Cricetulus griseus: one gene and its partners. The protein of the gene in region 6 interacts with the protein of the main gene of each other region in a biochemical or structural test. Links are inferred from orthologs where the notes say so. Each region holds a gene or a part of one and is shown on either strand. Other genes may lie near its edges.

Region 1 (3,500 bases), on a different chromosome or scaffold from region 6:
AATCGAAGATAATGAGTACACAGCGAGAGAAGGTATGGATACTGGGTCATACAGGCCATTTCTTTGCAAGTGTATAGTGTACTTTCAGCACCTTTCACCCCCATGCCTGATGCCTTCCCCTTTCTCACCCCCCATCCCACCAAGTGTTCCCTCTGTTGCCACTGACCACCTTGTTTTCGCTTTCAAGGTCTTGCTCTCTAACCCATACATGTATGATCAGATGGTCTAGCGATGGGAGAAAATCTACTACCTACATATCTGACAGAGGGTTAATATCTAGACTATGCAAAGAACTAAAAAAAAAAAAAACTACATAATAAGAACATTTTAAATTATTGTCTTACTGTCTCATTTCAGCTTTTTTTAAAGGTAAATTTAACAAAAAAAATCATCATTTTGAAAACTACTTATTAGGTACAATATTCATGATGTGCCACAATTGTAGCTTACTTCTTAAGGAGCTCTCTCTTGGCTAATGACACTTAACACTTTAACAAGGTCATAAACAGTAGCATCTTTCTTCTTCTTCATTGTTTTGAGACAAGGGAGGTGTTTGTCTGTTTTACTTTTTGGTACTTGGGATTAATGAACTAGGGTCTCAGGCTTACAAGACAAGTGTTCTACCATTGATTTGTAGCGGGATCTTGTGTAACCCAGGCTGGCCTCAAACTATAAATCTTTCTGCCTCAGCCTCCCAAGTGCTGGTATGTGTACCACACTCCCAGCCTTCTATTTCAGTTAACCAAAGTAAAACAAAACTAAATTTGTCAAAATTAGGATTCTTTGTTTACCCTGTAAGGCAAATTTCCTCCCTCAGTTACAAAGTACTGTGCTTCTCTGACCTGCAGTGATATTTGTAACACATTCTGTGCTGCAGACCACAGATGAAGGACCTCAAAGGTTCTGCAGCCCCAGAGACCCCTCTGTAAGGAGACGAGCTGGGATTCAAACCAGGGAATCCAGCCTCAAAGTATACGAGAGAAAATTTATTCTACTGGTTTTGTTGACACCAACAAGCACTGAGTTTTTGAAAAATAAATCTTCTGCCATATGTCATTGGCATACTGATCTTCGGTTCTGGATTACACACAGGGCACAAAGACAGTATGGAACTTTGTTAGGATTATACCAAAGAGAAAGCAGTAACCCAGAGATGGTCCTAGCATCTCCCTTCCCTCCCATCATGCACCACTGCTCCAGTTTGTCAAGGGATGATGCAGGAATTAGTGATGCTGCCCAACACACACAGGTGTCACACAACTCTCTTCACTGTTCTTATAGGAACTTCCAGTTTTTGGGTGGGTTTTTTTGTTTGTTAGTTTTTGTTTGTCAAGACAGGGTTTATCTGTATTGTTTTGGAGGCTGTCTGGAACTATCTCTTGTAGACCAGGCTGGTCTCGAACTCACAGAGATCCTCTTGCCTCTGCCTCCCAAGTGCTGGGATTAAAGGCATGCACCACCACCACCTGGCGGAACTTCCAGTTTTAGTAAGACACTGCAGAAGAAACCTCATGCAAAGACATAGTGCAGACAAGTGATGTTTTCAAGTGATGGCTATGAACCCCTAGCAGTTCCCTGATGCTGGCATCTGTGCCAGGTCTTGCTTTCCTCAAGGGACCTTGTGTTTCCCTAGCTAAATCTGCATGTTCCTGATCCCTCAGCCTCACCAGCAACTCAGGAACCTCACTCCATCACTGTCTCATTCTAAGTAGATAACCATGCTCCTTTCTAACCATCTAATATGATTTGTCAATGGAAGAAGGGATCATGACATTTGGAGCAGCACCTGTGATTGCCTGGGCACAAGCTTAAAATTATTTGTGAACAAAAGAATACACATTGACACATATAAAATATATGACACATATGGTACATATATATATCTGTGGGTATAGTTCAGTGTTGAGTGTGTCTGATACCCAGCACTAAAAATTAAATAGGTAAATTTAAATGAAATAAAAGATACATCCATGCAAACATAGAGTGAACTCATTAAAGAAAAAAATCTGAAATGTTTTGTGGGGAAAGGTTGGTGGGGACATTTTGTTATGTTTGTTTGGTTTGGTGTTTTGAGATGGGGTCCTGCTTTTCTGTCCAGGTTGGTTTTAAACTCCTAGAATCAAGAGATCCTTCTGCCTCTGCTGAGACTAAGGTGCACATCAGCATGCTTGACTCTGAATAAAATATCTACACTGAATGTCAGTGCTAAAGAGTCTGGTTTGAAAGGCAAACATACACACTGGTCTTTACATTGTATGCCATGTCCTTTTGAGTTTGAACTTAGGCCAGTTACAGTGTCCCCTAGGGGTTTCAGAAGAAACTGTGCTTCTAAGGAAGGGAGGGTCCAAAGGGAAACATGATAGGGAAGTAAATATATTTGAATGACATTTGATACCACGTCCATTCTGATTGTGTGTGTGTCTTATCTATTCCAAACAATAACTTGAATTTCCAAAAACCCAGAGGAGAGAATGATCCATGACCTTCTATCTTGAGCTCTGAGTAAGAGTCTGTGTCTCCCTCCCCAGGTGCTAAGTTCCCTATCAAGTGGACGGCTCCAGAGGCCATCAACTTTGGCTGCTTCACTATCAAGTCTGATGTGTGGTCCTTTGGAATTCTCCTGTATGAAATCGTCACCTATGGGAAAATTCCTTACCCAGGTATCGCTTGCCTACTCCCCACTCAAGTGTTCTGTGTGAAGGAAGAACTAAGCAGTTTGAAGACATTTACAAAGCAAAATAGTGCTATCTACCCAATCCATGCCTCCAACAGAGCTTGGGGTCATGCTTCTTGGTCTTTATCTTACGATTCCTTCACCAAATCCACCACTTACAATCTTGACTGCACCTGGCACTACCTTGGGTGCTTAAATGAGGCACATTAGACACTTGTTGCATCTCCTCCAAGGCAGGGCTCCAGATGCAGCAGAATGTACAAAGAACCAGGGTCTTCAACGTCTTCTGCGTGTTGTGAGAACTGAGGTGATGAACAGGGTGGTAGGTCTGTTTTCGGGAAGGACTCTTCTGGTCTTAACTCGGGATGCCACTGAAGACATTGTTCAGTATCCACACCTGCATTCCCTTGTGCCCGCTTCTGCCTGGCCTGCCCTCCTCCAGAGTCTGTAAAGGGCCTTCTCAAATTCCCAGTTTCCCTTTAGTGTCTTTCAGTCAGTCAAAACTGTGTGAATAACATTTTTTTAGTAGCTAGAGAGGTAGCTCAGCAGTTAAAAGCACTGACTGCTCTTCCAGAGGGCCTGGGTTTGATTACCAGTACCTACATGGCAGCTCACAACTACCCATAATTCCAGTCCCTGGGGATTCAACACTTTGGCCTCAGGAGCTTTCTGCCAAGTGGCTTCAATGCAAAGTGGAAAGCAGAAGAGCAAGCAGGCTCATGCAGAATGAGCTAAGCAGAAGGGATGGCCTCACTTCCTGAAAACTCTCCTGGTGACTAATGTGGGCCTTCAAGAACAAGCACTGGTTCCTGTGAGAAGGGTATCC
Region 2 (4,221 bases), on a different chromosome or scaffold from region 6:
TAGTATTCCCCACCGTACCTTCTGAATGAAGGGGTGGATGTTTAGAGGTTATGCTGTTGAATAAATGCTCATAAAAGTCAGAAGAGCCAAAGTGGCTGATGTCATTGTGAAGAGGGAATAGTTATAGTAGAGCACTAAAGTTATCAGGTTGGAAGAAGGCATGATGGAATTCCTTAGTAGCTCAGTATCCATTCACTGGCGACAATATCAAGTAGCTGCTGAATGTACTTCAGGAGACTCCTTTTTTTTCTGTGGTTTGATATGCAATTAGTTCTTGAAAGGGCATGGAGGAGGCAAGGGAAGGAAATCTACCCTAATTCAGCTTGCCTCAGGGAAGAATCCGCAGACCTCTTCTGGGTACCTTTAGGTTCTCAAATGGCTGAATCCTTCCTTCCTTCCTTCCTTCCTTCCTTCCTTCCTTCCTTCCTTCCTTCCTTCCTTCCTTTCCTCCCTCCCTCCCTCCCTCTCTTCCTCTCTCTCTCCCTCCCTCCTTCTTTCCTTTCTTCCTTCCTAAAGCCTCCCCTACCTCCTTCCCTTCCACTCCATTCCCTCCCCCACCCGGCCCCTCCCCTCTCTTTCTCCCTTCCTCTCTGCATTCCTTTATTTCTGTATACCGTGGTGGTCAGATGACAAATTACAGGAGTTGTTTCTCCTCTTTCCACTTTTTTTGGGGGGGGGGGTTCTGGGGAGTGAACTCAGGTCATCAGGTTTGGAGGCACCTTTACCCATTGAGCCATCTTGCCAACTCTAGTTTTAAGGCTCTAGGTACAGGATCAAGGATCTTTGTATCTAGGTAGGCTGTCCCAAGAAGGGTTAGCCTTGACTTTGTAACTCTGACTGGGTGGGCTTCTTTTCTCTTGAGGTCTGGATAGGAGCCATGTATGGAGCATAGTAATGTAGTTACCAAGGGGCATTGCTGTAGCAACAGCTTCCTTTTGACACCACTCTGATACCAGATCAAGATGACATTCTTACTGAGTCAGAGTGTGAATTGTATCCACTACCATGCTTATTCATTGTTCAAATCAGTTATGCTGTGTGGTCATGTGTTTCAGTTCCTAAGATCTTGAGGCCTAAATGAAAAATACAGGCAGTGGAATGCACTTTGCCATCTGAGTTACTTGTTCTCCGAAGTCAAATAGCAGAATGTGTTGGAGAGCTAAGGGATACTGGAAGAGACAAAGACATGTATCATCACCATCATGGGAAATCTTCATTAGGGTTTCCTGGGAAAGGGCTGGGCAGGATGGAGGCTGAGCTAAGAGAAGAAAAACTTTGGGCCTTGGTCACCCCAGTCTGGACACTTAAGACTATCCTGGCTGGAGGGTGAGGAGGGTCTATATTTGTAATTTAAAATTTCAACAGCATTAGAAAATTAGAGCCATATTCTCACCATTTATTTTCTAACTTTAGAAACTGGGATCTTCAATGGCAGGAGAAAGAGCGACCAGAAGACCGAGATGAATTTTAACACTATCCTAGAAGAGATTCTTATTAAAAGGTCCCAGCAGAAAAAGAAGACATCACCACTAAACTACAAAGAAAGACTTTTTGTTCTTACCAAATCTGTGCTAACCTACTATGAGGGTCGAGCGGAGGTAGGAGACAATCTTCTCTGCCACATTTAGTGTTGACAACATTGAGTAGGCAATGCTCTCCACTGAGCGAATGAACTTGAGGTTACCGTTTGTTGCCATTTGGACTTGAAAGGTGAAATTTAGCATGTGATAGAACTCCACACAAGTCTGTCATTATAGGTTCAGATATATAGCTATCCATTTGGTGTCAGGCTCCTGAACTAATTAATCTGTCAGAGAAAATACATTCCTGTTTGTTTTAGGTCCTTATAGAATTTATTGGTATACTGAGCACATGGCTTTCTCCCACAAGCCACCATATTATGTATCAAAGCCTAAGTTTTGTGTGAACGTTTCTTCATTACTTGAAGATGATGAGTTATTTGGTGAAGCATCTATTGAAGTTGATTACAGAGGAATTCTTGAACTCTTGATGCTAAGTGTCTACTCCCATGTTCTTTGCTGGGGGCAGGGAGATTAAAGAAGCAGCATCCAGTGAGCTCCTGCTGTGGGATGTTAGGTACAGTGAGGAAGGAAGGGGTTTTGGTTAGGCAGCTTCTAGCTTTCCACAATGAATGTGAATGAGTGGCTATCCCTGGCCCAATTTAAAATCTTGCCATGGTGGATATGGTATTTTCTACTACTGCCATAGTCCTGTATGCTAGAAATAATTTTGGGTTGTAGAGAATGGCTGGGGACTAATTTCTCTTGACAACATTCGATAGCAAATGTCATTATGGTGACTGCCTGGTGGTCCTGGTATTTGGGCTCAATTGTGCCTATTCTTGGGTGGTTTTCTCAGATGTTGACTTAATGTTTTGCTGTTGTTTCTTATTCTGTATTTTGGTTCCCTTCATTTATACAGAATGGCATTACTTTTCCTGCGCAATCTCAGCTGTTGTTTCTACTGTGCTGTATTGTCATGGCCTGTGCTGTGCTTCAGGTTCACAAACCGTAGAACCATATTCCTTTAACTCTAACCACTCCCCCAAATGCTGAAAACCAAAGCTTCAGGAATTCTACTTGTAAAACTAGAGCTGAGGTGAGCCCATGCTCACTCTTTAGTTTATTCACTTTGAATGTGTGCCCAGAACTGTTAATGTGACTAGTTATGTTGGCTACCTTTGTCCCATGGTGCTGCGTTTTCTTTGTTATCCAAGAAGTTGAGAAATCCAGTGGGGTTTCAGATAAGAATTGTTACCAATATGAGGATTATTTTAAAATTGCTAACAGATTTGGAGGGAAACATGAGTAAGTTTTTGCTGTATGGCAGTGATTTGATGTAAGTGGAATTTAATATAGTTAGTCCAGGAGAAAAATAGGATACAGCAGTGAGAGTGGTAAAAGGCAGCACTCTCCTAACCCCAAACTGCAGAAACTGACATGTCAACTTAGAAATATGGACTGGTACTATTAAAATACAACACAGCAAGGCCAGACAGATGACTCAGTGGTTAAGAGCACTGGCAGTGCTTTCAGAGAACCCGTGTTTGATGCTCTGTGTCCGCACTAATGCTCACAGCCAGCAGTTACCCTAGTTACAGGGGGTTTGATGCCCTGTTCTGGCATGTATGAGGTGCACACAGACATACAAGCAAAACACCATCCACATAAAGAGAAAGTACAACACAATGGTCAACTCACTCTCAAGATGTTAGTATACAGTTGGCCCTTGATGTCTGTGAGGGCACTGTTTCCCCTCACCACCACCTCATGAACTCAAATCTATTGCATAAAATAGTGCAGTATTTGCATGTAGCCTGTGCAATCCTCTTGTGTATTTTAAATTACCCATGTATTGCTTATAATACCAGATACAATATTGATGCTATAAAAAATACTCATTCTATATCCCTTAGGAAATGACATGAGAAAAATCTGTATATGTTCAAACAGATGCAATTTTCCCTCCAAATATTTCCTGGGGTTTGTTGATTCTGTTGACTCAGAACCTGCAGATATGGAAGGTTAACTGTGAAAAGTTACAAGTGCCCTAATAGATTAAGCAGAATGAAAAGACAGTGGAGCCCTTCTAAAATGGGGTGTCATTTTACTTTCTTGTGATTTCTGTTGTCTCGGATGGACTGGCATTCATTAGTGACTTGCTGCTTGAGCTGATCACAGATTTGTTGCCTCTCACAGTAAATAGTTGCCAGGGGTAGGGATGTAGCCAGATGCTAGAGTGTGTGTCTAGTATGTGCTTAGCATGTACCAAGCCATTGACTAGATCCCCATCTCTAGATAAACAAATAATTGCCTAAATTGAATTATTTGGAATTTGAAGATAAGAATCAGAATTCTTGGAATAACCATTAACAATACTGGGAAGACTTCCGTGTGGCACCTCTCAGCCCATTTTCTAGAAAATCCAGGAAACACCTCACACCGGAGTTACTTCCCTGTTTGGGGGCATGTGTCCAGTGCCTGTTTGCAGTGGATGAACCTTCTGCTTTTTTGTCTCTATTCTTAGAATCACATCTCAAAAAGCATAGTGAGCTGGGGAATCACCGAGAATGTTGAGTTAGAAAGTCAGATTCTAGACTTGGGCTGTGAAAACCATTGGAATCTCTAGAGACATTTAAATTATCCGTAGCTCTTCTGTTTTCAAATGAAATCTGGGGAAGAGGCTGTCTGTTGCTTCAGT
Region 3 (4,002 bases), on a different chromosome or scaffold from region 6:
CTGACACTTCAATCACGTCTATGAATGCTTTTCCACCTGTGTAGTGGGAACAGTATTTTATTCATACCTTGATGGGTGAAAAGATTGGGGTAAAGCATTTTATATAAAAGTTCAGATTGTAAGTGCTATGAGAAATAGGTCCAGGTGCCCAGCAGGTGGTGGCACACGCCTTTAATTCCAGCACTCTTTTGGAAGGCAGAGGCAGGTGGATCTCTGAGGTTGAGGCTAGCCTGGTCTACAGAGTGAATTCCAGGACAGCCAGGGCAATACAGAAAAAACATGTCTCGAAAACCCAAAAAGTAAGAAATAGGTTCAGGAACAGTGAAGACTGGGGGTGGGGGGCGGGGCAGAGGATGAACTTTCACAGGTGTGGGGTAGTTTCACAGGCTTTTGAGATCGGATAACCTGGACAATTTTCGCCTAACTTCGAATTTTACGGGAATGTATGTCTCACTGTGGACTATCATGGTAAGGATTCATACTAGTGCAAACGTGCACGAATGCACGATCACGCCTGGCATACTCTGAACAATGTTTCTTCGACTTCTTCCTATCACAAAGAATCGTCGATGCTTGCTTGCTTCCTCAGTTCTTCTTCACAGATTCCCATATTTATGCCTTTCCCGAGTGATGAGGATGTAACGAACCGGTCACGTTGGTATCTAGGAGCGAACCAAAAGTTTCTCCCCTAACGAGGCTCAAAGAAGTAATCCAACTCCGGTTCTGGAAAACTCCAATCCATAGTTTTCCCCTGGCTCTGAATCTCCCGCGGTCTTGCTACTCAAGCAGTGAAGACGTTGGCTGACCGGAGTCCACCGGCTCCCAGGAGGCGGGACCAGCTCTCTAGCTATAGGAGCTGGAGGCTGGGGCCTCAGCGAGCAGCCCATGGGCGCCAGGACCACAAGTCCCAACATGCACTGCGGCAGCACCAAACACAATTAGCTGGCCCCTCTCGTCCTCACTGGCCAATTGGACGGCGGTGAGGGGACAGACTCCAGTCGTAGGAAGACCAGTGATAATGCAGAGGAGGCGGGCGCTTCCTCATCGCTCACCTTGAGCTCAGAAAACCTATCTTTAAGAGGTCGTGCGGAGCCGGCCTGTCGCGGGCAGTGAGGCGAGACCCCGAAAGTGCTGCGGCACGTAGGACAGCGGCGGCGGCGGCCAGGCCGACCTCGCGCAGGGTGTTCTGGCGTCGTTGGGGGCGGGGTCGGGGGGCGGGGCCTGGCCTCGTTGTGGTGCGGCTCGTAATCCATCATGGCGGCCTCGGGGGTCGGTGTCTATCCCTGAGAGGCGCTGGAGCCGGAGCCGGTTGCAGCGTCCTGCGTTTGAGGAGCCCTTCCGCGGCACACCCCCCTCTGGCTGAAGAAGCCCGGTCCCTCGGCAGAGCCGGGGATGTGACTGCTTGGCGGCGGCGGCGGCAGAGTCCGGGGCCGGGGGAGGGGTGTCTCGGGTAGACCCCTGGCTCGGCGCAGCTGAGGCGCCGGGCCTCCTCCCGTGGCCGCCTCCCGTTTCGGGACCGCGGGAGACCTTCGTCCCTCACAGCTCTGCTCTGGCTCTGGGACACCCAGGGTGGTCTCAGTTTCAACCTACCTGGGACACTCAGTTTCCTGAGGCGAGGAGGAACGTCGCCCCCGAGTAAGCCGCCCGCGCCCCACCTGGGGAAGTCTCTGTCTCACCCCGAGGCCGCCCTTCGCTCGATTCCCACCCCAAGTTTGACCACGGAGCCCCTCATTCAAATCTCTCTGCTGTCAAGAGATCTCCACGGTCCTCCCAGATTGCTTCCGCCGGCCTCCGATGTCCTGACTTCTTCCAATGTCACCTACAGCCCCATTGGTCTCAGTGCAGCCCAAAACTTTAATGCAAAGAAAAAGTCTGGATTGGTTTCACAGGCCTTTTAAAAAGCGGACTTAAAAAAGTTGCTGGCCATGCATTCCTTTTCGACAGTGTGGAGAGCAAGCTCTGGTTGAGATCTGTGTGACCCGAGTCATTTTCCGGAGAACAGGATAGGGAAGAGAGCGGCAGGAAATTTGTTGGAGAGAGAGACAGATAGGGGATTGGTGACTTCCACAGGAAAAGTTGCAGAGAAGCGTCAAAGACGTTCAACGTCTCCAGCATGCTGGGGAGTTGAAATGACTTTTAGTACTGTTGACCCTTTTCAGACTCCCCAATGAATATTTCTATCTAAAATTCGCCCCTTGCAAAGAAACGTTCCTCAATCCGCAAAATAGACGGAGTCAAGAAGCTTTTGGGTAGCGTTGCGATGACATGACTTCAAATTAATTAACTTGGAAAAGAATTCCAGACTCCTGTTTACATGTGTGAACCTCAAATCCAGTTTCCCTTTCTCATGGAAGTTGACTTTCTGTGACTGACCCCAGTTACTGCCGTGGAGTCAGTGTTGTGAAGTTCTGGGTACATTCTGTTTCCTACTGAGGGGACCATTCTGGAAGATCTTAAACCCTCTTCTGGAAAGGGGTGCTTATCATTGCTTTATGGGGCAGCAGCCTGGAAAAGTTCTTGGGGACCAAAGAAGGCCTAGTTTGCCTGCCCTTCATTTTATCAAAGGGGCAGGGAAGAGGGACTCATCGCGGCATGGGGGTCCACACTGCAACGTGTTCGTGGAACATGGTGAGTGCTTTCCAGGTTTCTGATCATTGTTTTTCCTTAAACATCAAAGGACTTTATGAAACAATGCTTGTGTCGGTTCCTGCTGTATCTGCTTAGCGTTTTTGCTACTGTAGTTACTAGTTTCTTTTTCTGGTGGAGCAGTTCTTTGCATAAGAAAATTATGACTATTCAGTCTGCTTGAGTTGCTGTTTCTAGCCACATCCCACTTCAGGTTCATTGTTGACATGGGACAAGTCCTTTTACTGTTTGGGGGCCTGCATTCGTGAGGGAGGGGAGGGGACTTAGGTGCTTTTGAAGTATTCATAGTTCTTCCCATCTGCTCTCGCTAAAAGTTGGGAGTCTACTGTTATGCATGGTTTTTTTTGTTTTTGTTTTTTGGTTTTTTTGTTTGTTTGTTTGTTTTTTTTTGGGGGGGGGGTTGGTGGTTTTTCAAGACAGGGTTTCCCATTGTAACAGCCCTGGCCATCCTGGAACACACTTTGTAGACCAGGCTGGCCTTGAACTCACAGAGATCTGCCTGCCTCTGCTTCTGAGTGCTGGGGCTAAAGGTGTGTGCCACCACCACCTGGTAAGCATGGATTTTTTTTTTTTACTGCCCGTCTATGGAGCACTTGTATCGTATCCTCAAAGTGATTTGTGTATTGAAAGGTTCTAATAGAACCTAATTGATGCTATCTTTTGATTTTCTCAATTATAAGCAGGACTTGAAAATTCTCACTTTGGAGCAAGGTAGGGAAAGTTGAGTGTGGAAACAGTGTGCCCCTGAACTGAGGACTGTTCTGTTACTTTAAGGAATAACCCTGTCCTCATTGATGGAGCTTTCTTCACCCTCATCTCTTCCTGCTTAGTTGGCTTTGACATTTTTATGAACCTAATTTGTTCATAAGGCTGACAGTACATGTCTTGTTGTTGGCTAATAGTTAAGGTCAGGTTAGACTAACGTGTTGCAGAGGCCATCCAGGAGCTAGTAAATTACCGTCCTGGTTGTACTGTGGCAGTGTCATTTTTCAAACTGTATACTTAATATCAAAATACCAATTGAACCATCATGCCATATAAGCAAGTGTAGCCTATGCAAATGCCTCGTATACTTTGAAATTCAGTCATAAATACGTTTTAACAATAGGTGACTACTATAAACAATGGCTGCTTTTGGGTGAACTTATATTTGATAATTGAAGTTTTCTTTTTTTAAGGTTTAGTTTGTTTTATGTGTGTCAGTATTTTGCCTGGGTGTGTGTATGTGCACCATGTTCGTGCCTGATACCTACAGAGGTCAGGAGAGGATGTTGGATCCCCTGGAACTGGAGTTACAGATGGTCATGAGCCACAGTGTAGATACTGGGAATTGAACCTGGGTCCTCTGTAAGAGCA
Region 4 (4,173 bases), on a different chromosome or scaffold from region 6:
ACCTTGACATTTGCTTATTTGTTACTGGGATGGAATCACCTATTACCCCACAATCTAAGATTTGCTGAACATGGGAAATACAAATGGCCAGAATGAAATTTCACTGACAGAAATCTAAGTAGTGTTTGCTCCTCCTGTCTTTCTCTTTTGAGACCTCCCCCTTTTCTAATTTCCTATTTTAGGCTGGGTCTTATAAAGCTCAGCTGTCCTTAAATTCATAATCTTCCTGCCTCTACCTCCCCAGTGTTGGGCTTAGTGGTGTGTGCCATCACCCCTGGCATGGGATTATACCTTTCTGTTCATCCAATTTGGAAATGCTATGATCAATAACCTGCCATCAGTGTCTTGGTGATTTTTCACAATAGTCATTCATTTAACAAGTGTCTGATCATTCATTCAAGACCAGACATGGTATTAAGGTAGGCAAAACAAAGGTGTTTTATTAAAATTTGATCATAGCCAGGCAGTGGTGGGCAGGTGTGTACCTGTAATCCCAGCACTCAAGAGGCAGAGGCAGGAAGAGTTCCCGGTCAGCCTGGTCTTGGGAGTGAGTTCCAGGACAGCCAGGGCTACACAGAGAAACTCTGTCTTGAGTATCTCACCCTAAAATAAAAAAGATTGATCCTAGTGGGGGTGGAAGAAATATGTTGGGAGGGCACGGCTGGAGTTGAGCAACGTGGAATGGCAGGAAGCAAACTGGAACTGTTGTAGAACAACGACCTACAGCAGGCAAGACATTCAAGTCAGACACAGAGGTGTTGCATTTCAGAGCCTGTAGTGGCCTGGTTGTCACCAGACTGTGGCCCTCCTAAAGCATTAGTTCCACGTGTGCCAAGTCGGATCACCTAGGGCAGGAGTTATTCAGTAACCCATTTGATGGTCACCTCACCCTGGGTCATGCCTTTCCTAAGCCACCTGATTTATCAGGGCCCTGTGGCTCGCAGTCACCTGAGGGCCACGCCTCCCTGGCCAGACAAGCCAGCACGTTACGCTTTGTTCCCAGAAACAGGTTTTCATAACGCTGTTCCCTCTCGGCTCCGGCTGTTTTCTCGCCAAGTGCGGAACTCCCGGGGGCGGCGGCGGCGGCAGCAGCAGCAGCAGTTGCCTGACTGCGGCTCTGTGGCCCAGGAAGGGCCTGACCCACGGCCTCCTCAGCCTCCTCCCGGAACGCGGGAGCCAGCACGAGTGGCTCACGGAGGGGACCCTCGCGAACGCACTCCTGATTGGCTGCGCCGAGAGACGTCAAAGGGCGGGCCCCGTGGCGGGGGTAGCGCCCGGCTCCGCGCGTGCGCAGAGAGAGTGAGCTGGACCAAGGGGGAGGTGCCCGGCCGCTTCTCCCGCGTCCGCCATTTTGTTGCTGTGGCTATTGGGAACGGGCTGGGTGAAACGGCCTGGGAGGCGCGACTCTTGCTGGAGAAGGCTGCTTCGTGTGACGGCGAGGGTCGGTGCGGGCTCTTGACGCTGCGGAGCCGGCGGGTTCCAGGACAGAAGTCGCTGGAGCCATTCCTGGGCGCCGGGCAGCTGAGAAGCCCGAGGCGGCCTCTGCTACCGCTCGGCTTCGCCCACCTCGACCCCAGGGCTTTGCCCAGTGTTCCCGGGCTTGCTCTTCCCGTGAGGCGGCCCGGTGCAGGCGGGCGGTGGCGGAGGATGCTGCGGGGCCCGGAGCCGAGAGGAAGGTCCTGACCCAGCCCTCTGATTGCTCCTCGAGGTCTTCCGAGAGGCCCTTCCTCGGCCCCAAAGCCGACAGCGGGTAAAGGCTTCACGAGCAGGCGAGAGCAGCAGACGCCGCCCATCCCCGGACCCAACACCATGTCGTCCGCCAGGTTTGATTCTGCAGACCGCTCTGCCTGGTACATGGGGCCAGTGTCTCGCCAGGAGGCTCAGACCCGTCTCCAGGGCCAGCGCCATGGCATGTTCCTAGTCCGGGACTCCTCTACCTGCCCCGGGGACTATGTACTGTCCGTGTCCGAGAACTCGCGTGTCTCGCACTACATCATCAACTCCCTGCCCAACCGCCGCTTTAAGATCGGGGACCAGGAGTTTGATCATTTGCCGGCCTTGCTGGAGTTCTACAAGATCCACTACCTGGATACGACCACCTTAATCGAACCAGCGCCCAGGTACGCGAGCTCCTGCTGCCCTGCTCGGGCTGGGAACCAGACCCGATGCGGAGGGTCGGTCAGAGATTTAATTTTGGGGGTGGAGGGAGGAGTTGAATTGCTTTCCCTCATTCTAAACCAGAAGGAAGACATCGGATTGGAAGGCCAGTGTCAGGATCTGGGTCACTGGATGAAAGGATGCATTTTTATTTAGACATTTAGTGGTGATTGTATTGTTCAAATGCACCCACCGACACACATACACAGTTTTGTCACTTTAGCTGACTAATACTAATGCATAATTATTATTGTTATTATTATTTATTTTACTTGTTTGGTTTTTCGAGACATGGTTTCACTGTGAAATAATCTTGGCTGCCTTGGAACTCATTCTGTAGACCAGGCTGGCCTCGAACTGCCTCCCGAATGCTGAGTCTAAATGTGTGCGCCACCACCGTCTGGCTGCAGAATTCTTTTAACATTAAAAAGTATATAGACGTCCTTGAGATTCTGAAGCTAGCCATGGCTCTCTCCTCGAAAATTCTTGTAGTTTACACACCATTTAAGGTTTTAGAACCCCCTGCATCTCAACAGCTAACTGCAGGTTAAGAACTGGCTTGCAGCCTTTGGAAAATCGTTAAAATGAACCGAAATCGTAGGAATTTCAGAATCTGATGCGCAATTTGAAGTAGCCCCCCCCTTTAAAAAAAAAAAAACTAGAATTTCAAAGGAAAAAGACTGAGATTATATTTGAGGAAATTTGTACCATCTCTCCCTGGTGGGAAGTATATTTATCTTAATTCTACATTAATTCAGTTTTAGATTTTTGGGGGGTGGGAATTAAATTTAGTGGTTTAACATATACTTTAAAGAAACTGAAGTAGAGCTGCGTGAGAGAGATGCACACCCCTAACCGCCTAAGGAAAAGAGGACCTTGAGTTCCAAGCTTAATTGCGCTATAGCAACAACAAGAAAGTAGACTTCAAAAAGTATTTCACTGCCTGGTATATTTCTAAGCCATTTTCTAAAAAGGTCTGGGGATTGAGTTAGACTTCTCAGGGTGAGCTGACTTCATAGAATTGCTAATGAGGTAATTTGCTCTGAACTTTGAAGATGAAAAGGTACTATACTTAATTAAGGATACCTACTAAAAGTAAAAGGGTTTCTTTTTTAGGATAGAAGAAGTAAAGCTGTGATGGTACAAGGAGTGTAAAGTTAACTGGCAAAATCAATGGAGTTTAAAAAACTGTAGTGAAGGGGCTAGGCTTGATGACTTAGTGAATGAAAGTTGTTTGCAACAAAAGCTTGATGACCTCAGTTTGATTCCCCCAAACCCACATAAATGTGGAAGGAGAGTCCTTTCTTTAGCCTCAGTGTGTGTCCCATGGCAAGTGAGTATCCACACACACATCAATAATTTAAAAAAAAAAAAAGTAAAACACAGAGAAAGTGACTGTAAATAGTAATCTATGTTATGGAGATGAGGACACTGAGAATTCTGAAACATGAGGGTCCTAGTAGCTGGTGGCAGGTGCTGTCAACTTTAATAATTTTGGATAGCTTGGACAAACTTAGGAAGTATAATGTTTGGTAAAGCCAGGCGGTGGTGGCGCATGCCTTTAATCCTAGCACTCCTGGTCTACAAGAGCTAGTTCCAGGACATCCTCCAAAGCAACAGAGAAACCCTGTCTCGAAAAATAAAAAACAAAACAAACAAAAAATAATAATAATGTTTGGTAATATATTTGAGTAAATTTCTTCTCTCCTTTGTGAAAGTGGATTATATTATTGACCTCAGGCCTTTATTAGAACATGCTTGCAACAATGTAACAGGTGTTGGAGAAAGTCTAAGTTAATTATTAGATTCCCCTCAAGGAGGAAAAGTGTGCTGGAGTGGCTTCCTGTTACCTACAAAATCTAATTCTATTAAGTGTGTCTTCTCAGGTACCAATTTTCTGTGTTACCAATGTAATTTCCTGAAATTTTTCTTAGCTCTGCTTGACACACATTCGTATCTTTTGTTTTGTTTTGTTTTGATTTTCAAGACAGGGTTTCTCTGTGTAGCTCTGGAGCC
Region 5 (3,500 bases), on a different chromosome or scaffold from region 6:
GTGAGGTGGGATTTCTTGAGCAGAGGGACACGGGCAAGTCCAGTGCATAAGCGGGATGAGGCCATATTGTGGAGAGAGTGGCAGGAAGCATGAAGGAGGAACGGATAATGGGCGACGATGCCAAGGACCGGGGGTTGGGGTACGTCCTGTTGTCCACAGCTTGGGCAGCATGCTGACATCCAAAGTGCTCGGTGCCATGTCATGATTGAGAGTAGACAATTGGGTTCCTGTTTTGGAGTCACAGTATGGCCTCCGGCAAGTTGCTTAACTACTAAGTAGTTGGTTCAATTTCCTTCTCTGTCTTATGAGCTGAAACATGGCACATTCCTCTGAACATTATTAGGAAGTACATGTATGTGTAGGGTCCATGTCCACCACAGAAAGAGTGCCCAGCCTATTTAAAGTCTGTTTTTTATTTTGAAGCAGGTCTTGCTATGTAGCTCAAGCTGCCTCACACTCAGGATCTCAGCCTCCTCAGTGCTGACCTACTTAGTTGACCCTTAAGGAAGTTAATAATGTCATGGCTGGGGGTGGAGGTGGCTTTGGAAAACTCTGGCCGTGAGTCTGCTACAGAGTCCTTCAGTCTTTTCTCCTTCTTGCTGTCTGCCCTCCTAGGCACACCATTTGCCAAGAGCTCTTCCTGTCTCCCAGATTTGCCTAGTAGCCAGGTACAGACTGAGCATGCCAGAGTTCCCAGGTGTTTCCATCCCCCTCAATTTGAAAGCTGTGTTCCTTCTATTGAGCCCATGTGGCACAGTCACTTTAGCCATCAGTGAGATGACAGCGGAATCTTCTACAGCATGTGTGGTCACTTCAGGCACATACCCCCATGAACTTGCACAGTTGGGTCTGAGCTACAGTTCAGTCACAGGAAACATCAATGGGGGAAGAATCAGGGGATTGGGTGTGGCGGGAAAGAACTAGGGTGGGTGAGGACTTTAGGTGGTCCATGTCAGCTCGCCTGGTGGGTAAGTCAGTTCCCTTCTGAGCCTTGAGTGCCTCCTCTGTAAACTGGGTTGTGAAGAGTTCTAGTGGGATGAGTTAAGGACCCTGTGGCAGTAACTATGAGGTCATTGATGACGAGGTTTTACCAATTTGGTTGTTTGAGACAGGGTCTCACTATGTAACCTTGGCTGGTTTGGAACATCTGCCTGCCTGTGCCTCCTGAGTGCTGGGATTACACACATTTTTATTTTTAAGGTAGGGTCTCACTACGTAGCCCTGACTGGCCTAGACCTTGTTGTTTTAATTTTAATTCAAGAGACGCCAGTGGTTAGAAAAGAGGATGGTGGTCTTTTTAGGCATCTCCTGCGTGTGTCAGCCACTTTCTCATCTCCCTTCTCTGTGGTCCTTATACCATCACGCAGACTGTAACAGCCCATTTCTCAGGTCAGGAAATTGAGGCTTGTGAGATGACTTCCCAGGAAGATGGACTGGGGTTTGAAGAGAATGTGCCTGACTCTGCCTGCCTCTCCTCACAGGTGGTACTTTGGAAAGATCAGCAGGAAGGATGCAGAGAGGCAGCTTCTCTCAGCTGGCAACCCTCAGGGGGCCTTCCTCATTCGGGAGAGTGAAACAACCAAAGGTGCATTTTTAGTAGTTACTTCATGCCATCTGCCATTCTGGCCAGTGGGGCAGTGCTTGGGTCCCGGCTAAGGGGCAAAGCTAAAGTAGGCTCTGGGAATTTGCCTTTGGTGCCTCTTCCTGCTCTTAGTCTGAGGGACAGGAGGACTAAGTGACCCTTCCCACACAGGTGCCTACTCCCTGTCCATCCGTGACTGGGACCAGAACAGAGGTGACCACATAAAGCATTATAAGATCCGAAAGCTGGATACCGGTGGCTACTACATCACTACACGGGCCCAGTTCGAATCCGTGCAGGACCTGGTGCGGCACTACATGGGTGAGCTACTCCAGGAGACGGTGTGTTGTCATGATGGAGATACTAACCCCTAGAGGATGAAGTGATCTCCCAAAGCAGTACTGGCTGGACCAAGTGTGCATGTCTCCAGGCCAGGATCCTGCTCCGTGTAGATCCTGAGGGAACTGAGGCCACAAGTGGCAAAGACAAAGCAGTGCCTCCTAATGTTCAAGGCTAGGTCCTTGCTTCCAGATCTAAGCCGGTGGGAACTTTTTAAAAAGTTACATTTTATTTACTTGTGGGAAGGGTTCATGACTGGATGCATGCCAGAGTGTGGGTGTGGAAGTCAGAGGACAACTTGTGGAACTTTGTTCTCTCTTTCAACCAAGTGGGTCCTGGGGATGAAACTCAGGTCATCAGGTTTGGCCTTAGCCACTTGCCTGATGAGCCATCTTGCTGGCTCCAGTCTATGGAAACTTTGTGGGGGTCTTTGTTGTTCTCTCTCTCTCTCTCTCTGGATGCTGTGTGGAAGTCAAAGGACAACTTACAGAAGCTCGTCCTTTCCTTCCACCATATGGTTCTCAGAGATCAAACCTTTATCTGCTCAGCGTCCTTGCTGGCCCTGTTGTATTTCCTAGGCAGAGTCACCATCATAGGCTCTAAGCCAATGGTTCTCACCTGTCCTAATGCTGGGGCCCTTTAATACAGTTCCTCATGTTGTGATGACCCCCCCAACCATAAAATTATTTTTGTTGCTACTTCATAACTGTAAGTTTGCTACTATGAATTGTAATGTAAATATCTGATATGTAGGATGTCTGATATGTAGGATGCAACTTCTGTGAAGTTATGGCTCAACCCCCCCCCCCTCCAAAGGGGTTGAGATACAGGTTGGGAACGAAAAGGGGTTGTAACCCATAGGTTGAGAACAACTGCTCCAAGCAGTGGATTGCAGAAGGTGGTCTGAACTTTGAGATTCTCTGGATGCCAGGGACAAGGCGGAAGGAGAGGTCCCTGGGCTGCTGTGGTCATTGACCAGGCAATGGTAGTGGCCAGATGGAAGCAGTGACTGCACAGACAAGCAGAACAGGCGGCAGCGTAGACCTGACCAGATGGAGGCCTGGCTGTGGGATTAAGCAATGGTGCTCCACTCAGGTCTAAAACCCAAGTATGGAGACCAGGCCACATCATTGCCTATGTTTCCATCTTGAGCCCTTAGGCCCAGGATGAGGTCCATGAAGAAAGGGCTGCAGGTCCACAGTTTTGCCTCCATTTTCGCCTGTCAGTCAGAACCAGTGCTTATCCTGAAAGGCCCTGCTGGAGGCTGCCTCCTAGGAAGAGCCATGAAGTTTCCATGGGGATCGTTTCAACTTCTCTATGCCATCCTCTTCCTTGGACACCAACAAGTTTGCCTACTCAGAGGCCTGAATTGCCTTCTTCCTTAACTGTGACCTAAACTATGTATTAGTTACTCAAAAAAAAAAAATTTTTTTTTTTTTTAAATCCTGGCTTGTGAAGGCAAACTACTTTTGTTCTGTTTGTTTTTTGTTTGTTTGTTTTTGTTTTGTTTTTACTCTGTAACCTAGGCTGGCACCAAACTCATTACAAGCCTCCTTCCTCAACCTACTGAGTGCTGGAA
Region 6 (4,058 bases):
CCGGCGGGCGCTCCAGGAGAGTTAGGTTCAAGCTGGGCAGGGTTTGGTGTGGAGTTGTCGGAGCTTCCTGTAACACTACTGTTTCTGTCACCGGGCAACCACAAGCTAGGCTGGCTTCTTAGCTCAGGCCTTCTCTACCCAAGCCTGAAAACAGCCCTCCACAGCAAGGGGGCCCCCAGAATTGCTTCCCCTAACTCAGACAAGACAGCTTTGTTCTGGGGGCATTTGGCTTGGAAGCCCTGGTGTTCGGGTTAGGGCCTCCCAACTGCGCCCTGAAGCTTCCATCCCCACTATCTGCTCAGCTCTCCACTCTCGTGTTTCCGCTCCTTTAGCAATAATGTAACTGTCAGTTGGTTGGCTTCCCCGACTCCATCCCAAATCAACTTTCCCTCTGGTCCACCATCCTCTCCATCCCCAACTCCTCTTTCTCTTGGCCGGCAGTGACTCCCCTACCTTCTTCGCCTAGGCAGAGCTCCAGAGGCTGGAAGCGGAGTCCTGGTCCTGGAGATTAGTTTTAGGACTTCCCAAAAAAAAAAAAAAAAAAAAAAATTCTTCGGCCAGGGGAGACTGGACCCCCCCTTCCTCCCCCCTCTTCGTTGGTCCCTCCCACGTCCCCTAGAGCCTCCCACATTCCACTTTCTCCCTCCATTCCAAGCCAGGCCAGTCCCCTTCCTCTAGATCTTCCCTCCCCCGTGGAGCTGCTGCAGCCGTCCCCCCCCAGCCCCCCCCCCCACTACCCCGCCCTTCTGCCGGCTCAATGAAGCTTTCTTTTCCCGCAGGTTGGAGGCCGGGTAGCCGCTGTCAGGATGCTGGACTTGTAAACGGTTTCGTGATCGGCCCCTGCGGCGGCGGGAAACTTGCCAGCCTCTAGTTGTTCCTCCACATCCCCAGTTAGGCAGAGTATCAACAGTCCAGTTCAACTCCAGGATTGGGCCATGGGAGCAGGTCCCACAAGAGGAATTAATGTCCCGAGGACCCCCCTTGGTGGTTGTAGTGCCCCCGGGGTGCCTGCGGGAGACGTCACGGCCTTCACTCTGATGTCACGCTAAGCATATGACGCCACTCTCAGCCCCCCACCTCCCAGGCACCAGGGCCTTCTAGTTGACAATCACGGCTTCCCTGAGTGGCACCACTGTGCGAACGAACGGTAGGATAAAAGGCCCCAGTCGGCTTATCTGGGTACCCCGACTTCTTCCTGCTGGCTCCTCTTCCTCCATCCCCCATCGTTGCCGCAGGGGCCCAGGAGGGGCGGGCACGCCTCCGGCACCCTGCAGCCCCGCCCCGCCCCGCCCCCCGCCCTCGGGGCCAGGAAGCTGGGAAGGAACCGCCGGGGCCATGGACGGGGCTGTGATGGAGGGTCCGCTCTTTCTACAGAGTCAGCGCTTCGGGACCAAGGTAGTGTGAGTGGGTTTGTGTGCGGCGTGGGGGATGGCGAAACCCCTCCGGACTAGAAGTGGGTGAAAGCAGCCAGAAAGAGGAAAGGGGCCGGAAGCAGGTCGGGACGCTGCTCCGGCAATTGCAGAGCCCCATGAAGTTCCCTTGAAGCCCCACGCTGTGCCCTTCTTGGGGAGGAGTTGGGATGATGGCATTATCTTTGGGAAAGTGTCCCTGCCTGGGAAGCCCCAGACTCAGATCGGCCTGCGTGTGTTTCTCCTTCCCCGTGGGGGCGTGCTGCCGCGAACTCCCGCGTCTTTCATTTTTTCCCCCAGAGGTGGAGGAAAACCTGGGCTGTGCTCTACCCAGCTAGTCCTCACGGCGTAGCGCGTCTGGAGTTCTTTGACCACAAGGGCTCTGGAGGGGGTCGAGGCGGCTCTCGCCGTCTGGACTGCAAGATGATCCGCTTGGCTGAGTGTGTGAGCGTGGCCCCTGTGTCAGTGGAGAGTCCCCCCGAACCCGGCGCCACTGCCTTCCGCCTGGACACCGCGCAGCGCTCGCACCTGCTGGCGGCGGACGCCCCGTCCAGCGCCGCCTGGGTGCAGAGTTTATGCAGAAACGCTTTTCCGGTGAGGGGTTGGGGGTGAGCGGCCCTGGGCCTAAGGAGCATTACGAGAATGGGGCTTATTAGAGCGGCACTGGACCTCCTGCACCTACTCCAGACCCAAGGGAAATATATATATATATTTGGAGTCTGTCAGCTTGGCTTTTTATATATATATATATATGTGTTCCTTTTCCTGCAGAAAGGCGGCTGGGCTTTGGCGCAGACGGAGAACCCGCCTAAGTTTTCTGCCTTGGAGATGCTGGAGAATTCCCTGTATAGCCCCACCTGGGAAGGTAGCTGCCTGGCATGAATGGAGTGGGGAGAAGACGTGGTCTTGGGAGCTAGCGATTGGAGGCTACCAAGTCCCTAACCTGCCCCAGCGCTCCTTCCCCTTTCTGTGTGTTCCTTCCAGGCTCCCAGTTCTGGGTAACCACGCAGAAGACTGAGGCTTCTGAACGCTGTGGCCTGCAAGGCTCCTATATACTGAGGGTGGAGGCTGAGAAGCTGACCCTCCTGACTTTGGGGACCCAGAGTCAAATCCTGGAGCCACTCCTTTTCTGGCCCTACACTCTGTTGCGACGCTATGGCCGGGACAAGGTGCAGGGGCTGTCTGGGAGGATGACTGTCAGGGAGGACTTCGGGTTGGCTAGCTGTAGATGATCAATTCCATTCCCAGGTGGTCTCTTCTCCTCAGATACACTAACTTGGTAAGATCTGTGACTCATCTTTTATGACACTCCTAACATGTTTCCCTCCACACCCTCAGGTAATGTTCTCTTTTGAAGCTGGTCGCCGCTGCCCCTCAGGCGCCGGAACCTTCACTTTCCAGACTACACAGGGAAATGACATCTTTCAGGCAGTTGAGGCTGCCATCCAGAAGCAGAAAGCCCAGGGAAAGGTGGGACAGGCACAAGATATCCTCAGAACTGAGTCCCATGAAGGGGAGGCAGAGGTGAAGGTGACTTCCCCTCCTGCTCCTCAGGAGCCCCTGGACAGCCCCCCAGCCCTATATGCTGAGCCTTTAGACTCCTTGCGAATTCCCCCAGGCCCTTCTCAGGACTCTCTGTACTCAGACCCTCTGGGTAGCACCCCTGCTAGGGCAGGGGAGGGGATGCATTCGAAGAAACCTCTCTATTGGGACTTGTATGGGCACGTGCAGCAGCGGTTGCTGAAAGCCAAGCTGACAGACTCCAAAGAGGACCCCATCTATGATGAACCCGAGGGCCTGGCCCCAGCCCCTCCCCGGGGCCTTTATGATCTGCCGCAGGAACCTAAGGATGCATGGTGGTGCCAGGCTCGGCTGAAGGAGGAGGGCTATGAGCTCCCATACAACCCTGCTACAGATGACTATGCTGTGCCACCTCCGCGAAACTCCAAGCCTGTCCCTGCTCCCAAGCCGCAGGGCTTGGTCCTTCCTGAACCTGGTACCACAGGAGGCAGTGGCAGCAAAGACCACAGCTCAGATATGGCTCTGTACAGCCAGGTCCAGAAGAGTGGGACGTCAGGGGGTTGGGACTGTGGGTTTTCTAGAGTAGGGAATGACAGGACAGGAGTCAAGTCAGAGGGCTCCACCTGAGACAGTTGCTGATAGTTTCATGGGGCCGTGGCATTGACAATCAAATCTGTTATAACCAGCAGGAACCAGAGGGTGGGAGGTGCCTAGGTTAAGACTAGGGGACCAGAGGCATCAAGGGATGACCAGCTCGAGAACTGAGTGATATAGGCTCTGGGACTAGACCTATGGAAGGGGCCTACTAGTCAGAGTGGAGGCACTTTGGGGAGGCCAGTGTGGCTCCTTACTTTTGTATTGTTCTTTGCTAGATGTATTTTTAATTTATAAGACAAATTTCATTAAAGCCAGTTTGGTTTGAAAAAGTCTCTGTGTGTGAATAGACACAGTGGCGGCATGTCCTGGGAGGGCGTGAGGGGATCAAAAGAAAAACCAGAGATATGTTGGGGACCAAGGAAGGAGGAAAGGGCCCCAGAGAGGAAAGTCTACAGTGTGGTGGCTCAGGGCCTGGGTGGTCACAGGCTCACCTGGGAAGGTCTATAGCTCTGTGACCCTGGGTCAGCTGTC
Region 7 (3,500 bases), on a different chromosome or scaffold from region 6:
ATTATGTATCATTGGACACCAATGGGATGATGAAAGAATACCATCTACTGAATGCAATAGTTAATAATGGAGTAAGTTTGTAGCCTATATATTTCTAGCCTTATAGGATCAAAATCACACTACATGTTTTTTTTACCTCTGGCTACTAGCATGCTACTAATCTAGGACGCTACTATTTAGCTTTATGGATTCTTATTAAATAGTTAACATTTGTGTTGGTGGTGCACGCCTTTAATCCCAGAACTTGGGAGGCAGAGGCAGGCGGATCTCTGTAAGAGGCCAGCCTGGTCTACAGAGTAAGTTCCAGGACAACCTCCAAAGCAACAACAGAGAAACCCTGTCTCGAAAACAAGCAAAAAAATAACATTTATATTTAATGTAATACCTCTTTAAATTCACTGTACTCTTCTTCTGGCATGATTTTTTCCATAGAGTATCGTGCTCGAACACGCAGGGATCCTGGTTCAATGCCCTTTAGTGGTATATGGGAGCTGAGAAGAAACCATTCATCTGTGGCATGTCCTTTTTGTAACCTGCTCAACTGGCAACGCATAAATACTACAAAAGAAAAACCACTATGTTCATACAATTACATTTTCTCAATACAGTTTTCTATGGTGTTAAAAGCTTTTCATTAACCAAGTTTCAATAACATCACAAAACACTTAACTGGTTTGGTTATTTTTTTCATTTACTAGACCTGCTACATTACATTCTGTCATAGGCTGGGGATCTGGAGTTAAGAAATGATTAAGACATGGTGTCTGACGTGCATGGAGAATGTCTTAAGCTGTCAAAGAGGATGCAGTGTAAGTGCTACAACCCTGGATAATACAAAGATACATTAAAAATCAATTCCAAAAAAGGAACCTGTGAATTGATTAGGTAGGTAGGTAAAAAAGGTAGAGCAATAAAGACCACAATCCAAATAGAAAGTATGGCTTTCTTTCTGTTCTAAAAAACTGGGATTTTTATCATACAAGTATTGGAAAAACACTTAAAAATATAAGCAATTACAGAATAAACATTTTTTTCAGAGAGCTTCAGGTTTTGATTTGTCAGTACATATCACTGCTTACCCCAAAAGCCTCAGTTGTAAGAAGGCATTAACCTAATTCACCATGATAAAAATCACTAAATCCCACTGCCATCTGTCCTACCAACAGGACAAGAAGTGTGCTTCTCAGAATAGGAACAGAGTATTGGATATTACAACAGAAAAAAAATAGCACAGCTAAACATCCTATCTTTTTAATTTGCAGGGCTGGGGATTAGTCTCCAGGCCACTACATACCAGACAAATACTCTACCATGGAGCTACATCTCTAGTCTGAATGGAACCTTTAATATTTGAAGTGTAGGAAATTAGGGGAAGATAAAAAAGGAAAGAGAACGAAAAATGATCACCACTACCAGTTTCTTCTCCTATTCTTTGGGAGAAGGGAAAGTAGATTTGTATATTTCAAATTATAAGGTTTATAGTACATATACTTTAATAGTCTCCTCTGAACAGTCAATAGTAGACTGCACAGCATGTTTTTCATCTCCATCTTAAGACATTTCATTTATAAATTCTAAAAATACACACAACATGCTTTCATTACTTTAGAAAGCTTTTTTAATCAACTTACAGATATCTGGATCTTTGCTTTTCTTTGTTTTATTACTGAGTGTGATTTCAAATCTATTGATATCAGGAGGAAGATCACTAAAGAAAGAAGGAAAAAAATTAGTTAAAAATTTAGTGTGTTACATTTAATACCAGCTTTATATAACCAGTTAGACAAGAATACTTGATAACTACATTTCCCCAGTAATCTTAAACTTCTTAAGCCACTAATAACCAATTAAAACAAGATCTAGAAAATATAGAACACATTTTGTCAATACTTTTCAGTAATCCAAAGGCATTTTATTAATAAAGATGAGCAAACCCAACAAAAAATACTATTAAAACACCTGACAAACAGGATCTTAGGTAATTTATATGTAAACAGCAGGAGGAAATATGACTCTAAAAAATAGATTGAATATGATAAAATATGACTTACTCAAAGACAAACTCCTCTGACCATACTGGGTTTTGCCCCTCCCTTGCATGAGTTTTTGCTACTTGGACGCTATTCAAGTAGATGTTACAATATGGATTAGTAAAGTGTTTTACTGGGAGTTTGTGGGCTTCTTCAATATGTAAAACAAGGCTGCTGACCTAAAGAGAACACAGAAATTCATAACCAACCTTTCAAGACCTGTATATAAACAAAAATAGTGATTTGTTTCTTAGTATTTCAAAAAACAAACTTTGCTAATCACCTGTCACCATCCATTTCAAAACTCCAAATATCAATGTATGCTTATGAAGATTTTACTACTCTAAAGGAGTACAGGCTAAGATGTTCTTAAGACACTGATTTTATGATCTGTTGCTACAGAAAAGACACATTCTGAGAAACTAATGTATTACCAGTATAGGTGCTAGAACTATCCATCTACTTCCTACTTCCAACAAACAAGTCAGTATCTGATCCTTGCTTTTCTTTCATGTAAAATGTAGAAGACTACATGCTGTGTAAAGGATTGGCAACCATCCTTAAACCCACTGCAGATTAACGGACGTATCAAAGAGGCTCAAGATGTGTTATATGTGTACAAAGATATGTGACAACTTCTATTTATTAAATGTGTGTGTATTACATGTCCTTGCAACAAAGACCAGAATTTATGTTACGGATAGTATGTAGTTACCTAAGAACGACTGTTTTTACACTTCCAGTTAAATACAACAAGCTTACTGAAATATCCATTAATAGGGGTCATTTTGCTCCATAAATATACAATGTCTTAACTTTCTTCAAAATTCGAACCATATTAGAGCTCAACTACATCCAATTATCTAGGGATAATTTTAATGCAACAAAAGATGTGATGGCCAATAAATAAGGGATAAGTCAGTTGTGGTGGTTCACACTTGTTATCCTAGCATTCAGGACACTGGTGCAGGAGGATTACTGAAAGTCTGAACTCAGCCTAGGCTACAGACAACTCCTATCTCTAACAATAAAAACGATTTTAAAAATGTCATAATGCAGTATATATATACATAAAGCAACCTAGATTAACTTCCTATTAACAAAAGTATACACAAGGTTTAGATTTTAATAAGATTGGCTAGTTCCTAAAAATTGTGTATTCAGTCTCAAAAATAAACAGGATACTCCTGTGAATTTGATTAACTCTTCAGAAGTACATTTCATTCTACCTATTTTTCCAAGCAAGAACTCAATACACAAAATAAGTTTCTTTTACTGCTTTTGAATTGTAAGCAGAAAAACAATCTATTTTTTTTCAAGTTGGCACAGTAGACTAGGAAGCAGAGTACAAATATAAAGAACTCTTTCACAAAGCAATCTACTATCAAGTCAAGCAAGGGTATAAAATGCTTGAAAGACTAAGTTTTTCTAGTTTTAAGAAACGTTGACAAAACAGCATGTATAGAAAAA

Evidence for each region.
Region 1: of the proteins of Dok1 (region 6) and Lyn, one has a biochemical effect on the other in vitro, tested with the Homo sapiens proteins (2 studies listed by BioGRID, with this or other methods). The link is inferred for Cricetulus griseus from reciprocal best matches to the Homo sapiens genes DOK1 and LYN.
Region 2: of the proteins of Dok1 (region 6) and Tec, one has a biochemical effect on the other in vitro, tested with the Homo sapiens proteins (2 studies listed by BioGRID, with this or other methods). The link is inferred for Cricetulus griseus from reciprocal best matches to the Homo sapiens genes DOK1 and TEC.
Region 3: the proteins of Dok1 (region 6) and Abl1 form a complex in vitro, tested with the Homo sapiens proteins (5 studies listed by BioGRID, with this or other methods). The link is inferred for Cricetulus griseus from reciprocal best matches to the Homo sapiens genes DOK1 and ABL1.
Region 4: the proteins of Dok1 (region 6) and Crkl form a complex in vitro, tested with the Homo sapiens proteins (2 studies listed by BioGRID, with this or other methods). The link is inferred for Cricetulus griseus from reciprocal best matches to the Homo sapiens genes DOK1 and CRKL.
Region 5: the proteins of Dok1 (region 6) and Fgr form a complex in vitro, tested with the Homo sapiens proteins (2 studies listed by BioGRID, with this or other methods). The link is inferred for Cricetulus griseus from reciprocal best matches to the Homo sapiens genes DOK1 and FGR.
Region 7: the proteins of Dok1 (region 6) and Rasa1 form a complex in vitro, tested with the Homo sapiens proteins (2 studies listed by BioGRID, with this or other methods). The link is inferred for Cricetulus griseus from reciprocal best matches to the Homo sapiens genes DOK1 and RASA1.

Annotation. Positions count from the first base shown.
Region 1 is NC_048595.1:156,324,208-156,327,707, reverse strand, and holds part of Lyn (tyrosine-protein kinase Lyn), read left to right. Parts: coding exon 1-32; intron 33-2,528; coding exon 2,529-2,660; intron 2,661-3,500. UniProt on the Homo sapiens protein: Non-receptor tyrosine-protein kinase that transmits signals from cell surface receptors and plays an important role in the regulation of innate and adaptive immune responses, hematopoiesis, responses to growth factors and cytokines, integrin signaling, but also responses to DNA damage and genotoxic agents.
Region 2 is NW_023276807.1:139,339,377-139,343,597, reverse strand, and holds the start of Tec (tyrosine-protein kinase Tec), read left to right. Parts: upstream 1-1,421; 5' UTR 1,422-1,460; coding exon 1,461-1,598; intron 1,599-4,221.
Region 3 is NC_048599.1:143,412,014-143,416,015, forward strand, and holds the start of Abl1 (tyrosine-protein kinase ABL1), read left to right. Parts: upstream 1-1,202; 5' UTR 1,203-2,492; coding exon 2,493-2,628; intron 2,629-4,002. UniProt on the Homo sapiens protein: Non-receptor tyrosine-protein kinase that plays a role in many key processes linked to cell growth and survival such as cytoskeleton remodeling in response to extracellular stimuli, cell motility and adhesion, receptor endocytosis, autophagy, DNA damage response and apoptosis.
Region 4 is NC_048597.1:71,867,896-71,872,068, reverse strand, and holds the start of Crkl (crk-like protein), read left to right. Parts: upstream 1-1,373; 5' UTR 1,374-1,809; coding exon 1,810-2,120; intron 2,121-4,173. UniProt on the Homo sapiens protein: May mediate the transduction of intracellular signals.
Region 5 is NC_048595.1:20,267,237-20,270,736, reverse strand, and holds part of Fgr (tyrosine-protein kinase Fgr), read left to right. Parts: intron 1-1,481; coding exon 1,482-1,585; intron 1,586-1,753; coding exon 1,754-1,903; intron 1,904-3,500. UniProt on the Homo sapiens protein: Non-receptor tyrosine-protein kinase that transmits signals from cell surface receptors devoid of kinase activity and contributes to the regulation of immune responses, including neutrophil, monocyte, macrophage and mast cell functions, cytoskeleton remodeling in response to extracellular stimuli, phagocytosis, cell adhesion and migration.
Region 6 is NC_048601.1:74,204,847-74,208,904, reverse strand, and holds Dok1 (docking protein 1), read left to right. Parts: upstream 1-1,258; 5' UTR 1,259-1,335; coding exon 1,336-1,395; intron 1,396-1,709; coding exon 1,710-2,003; intron 2,004-2,180; coding exon 2,181-2,274; intron 2,275-2,393; coding exon 2,394-2,578; intron 2,579-2,747; coding exon 2,748-3,557; 3' UTR 3,558-3,859; downstream 3,860-4,058. UniProt on the Homo sapiens protein: DOK proteins are enzymatically inert adaptor or scaffolding proteins. They provide a docking platform for the assembly of multimolecular signaling complexes. DOK1 appears to be a negative regulator of the insulin signaling pathway.
Region 7 is NC_048595.1:305,211,905-305,215,404, forward strand, and holds part of Rasa1 (ras GTPase-activating protein 1), read right to left. Parts: intron 2,210-3,500; coding exon 2,052-2,209; intron 1,709-2,051; coding exon 1,632-1,708; intron 559-1,631; coding exon 386-558; intron 1-385. UniProt on the Homo sapiens protein: Inhibitory regulator of the Ras-cyclic AMP pathway. Stimulates the GTPase of normal but not oncogenic Ras p21; this stimulation may be further increased in the presence of NCK1.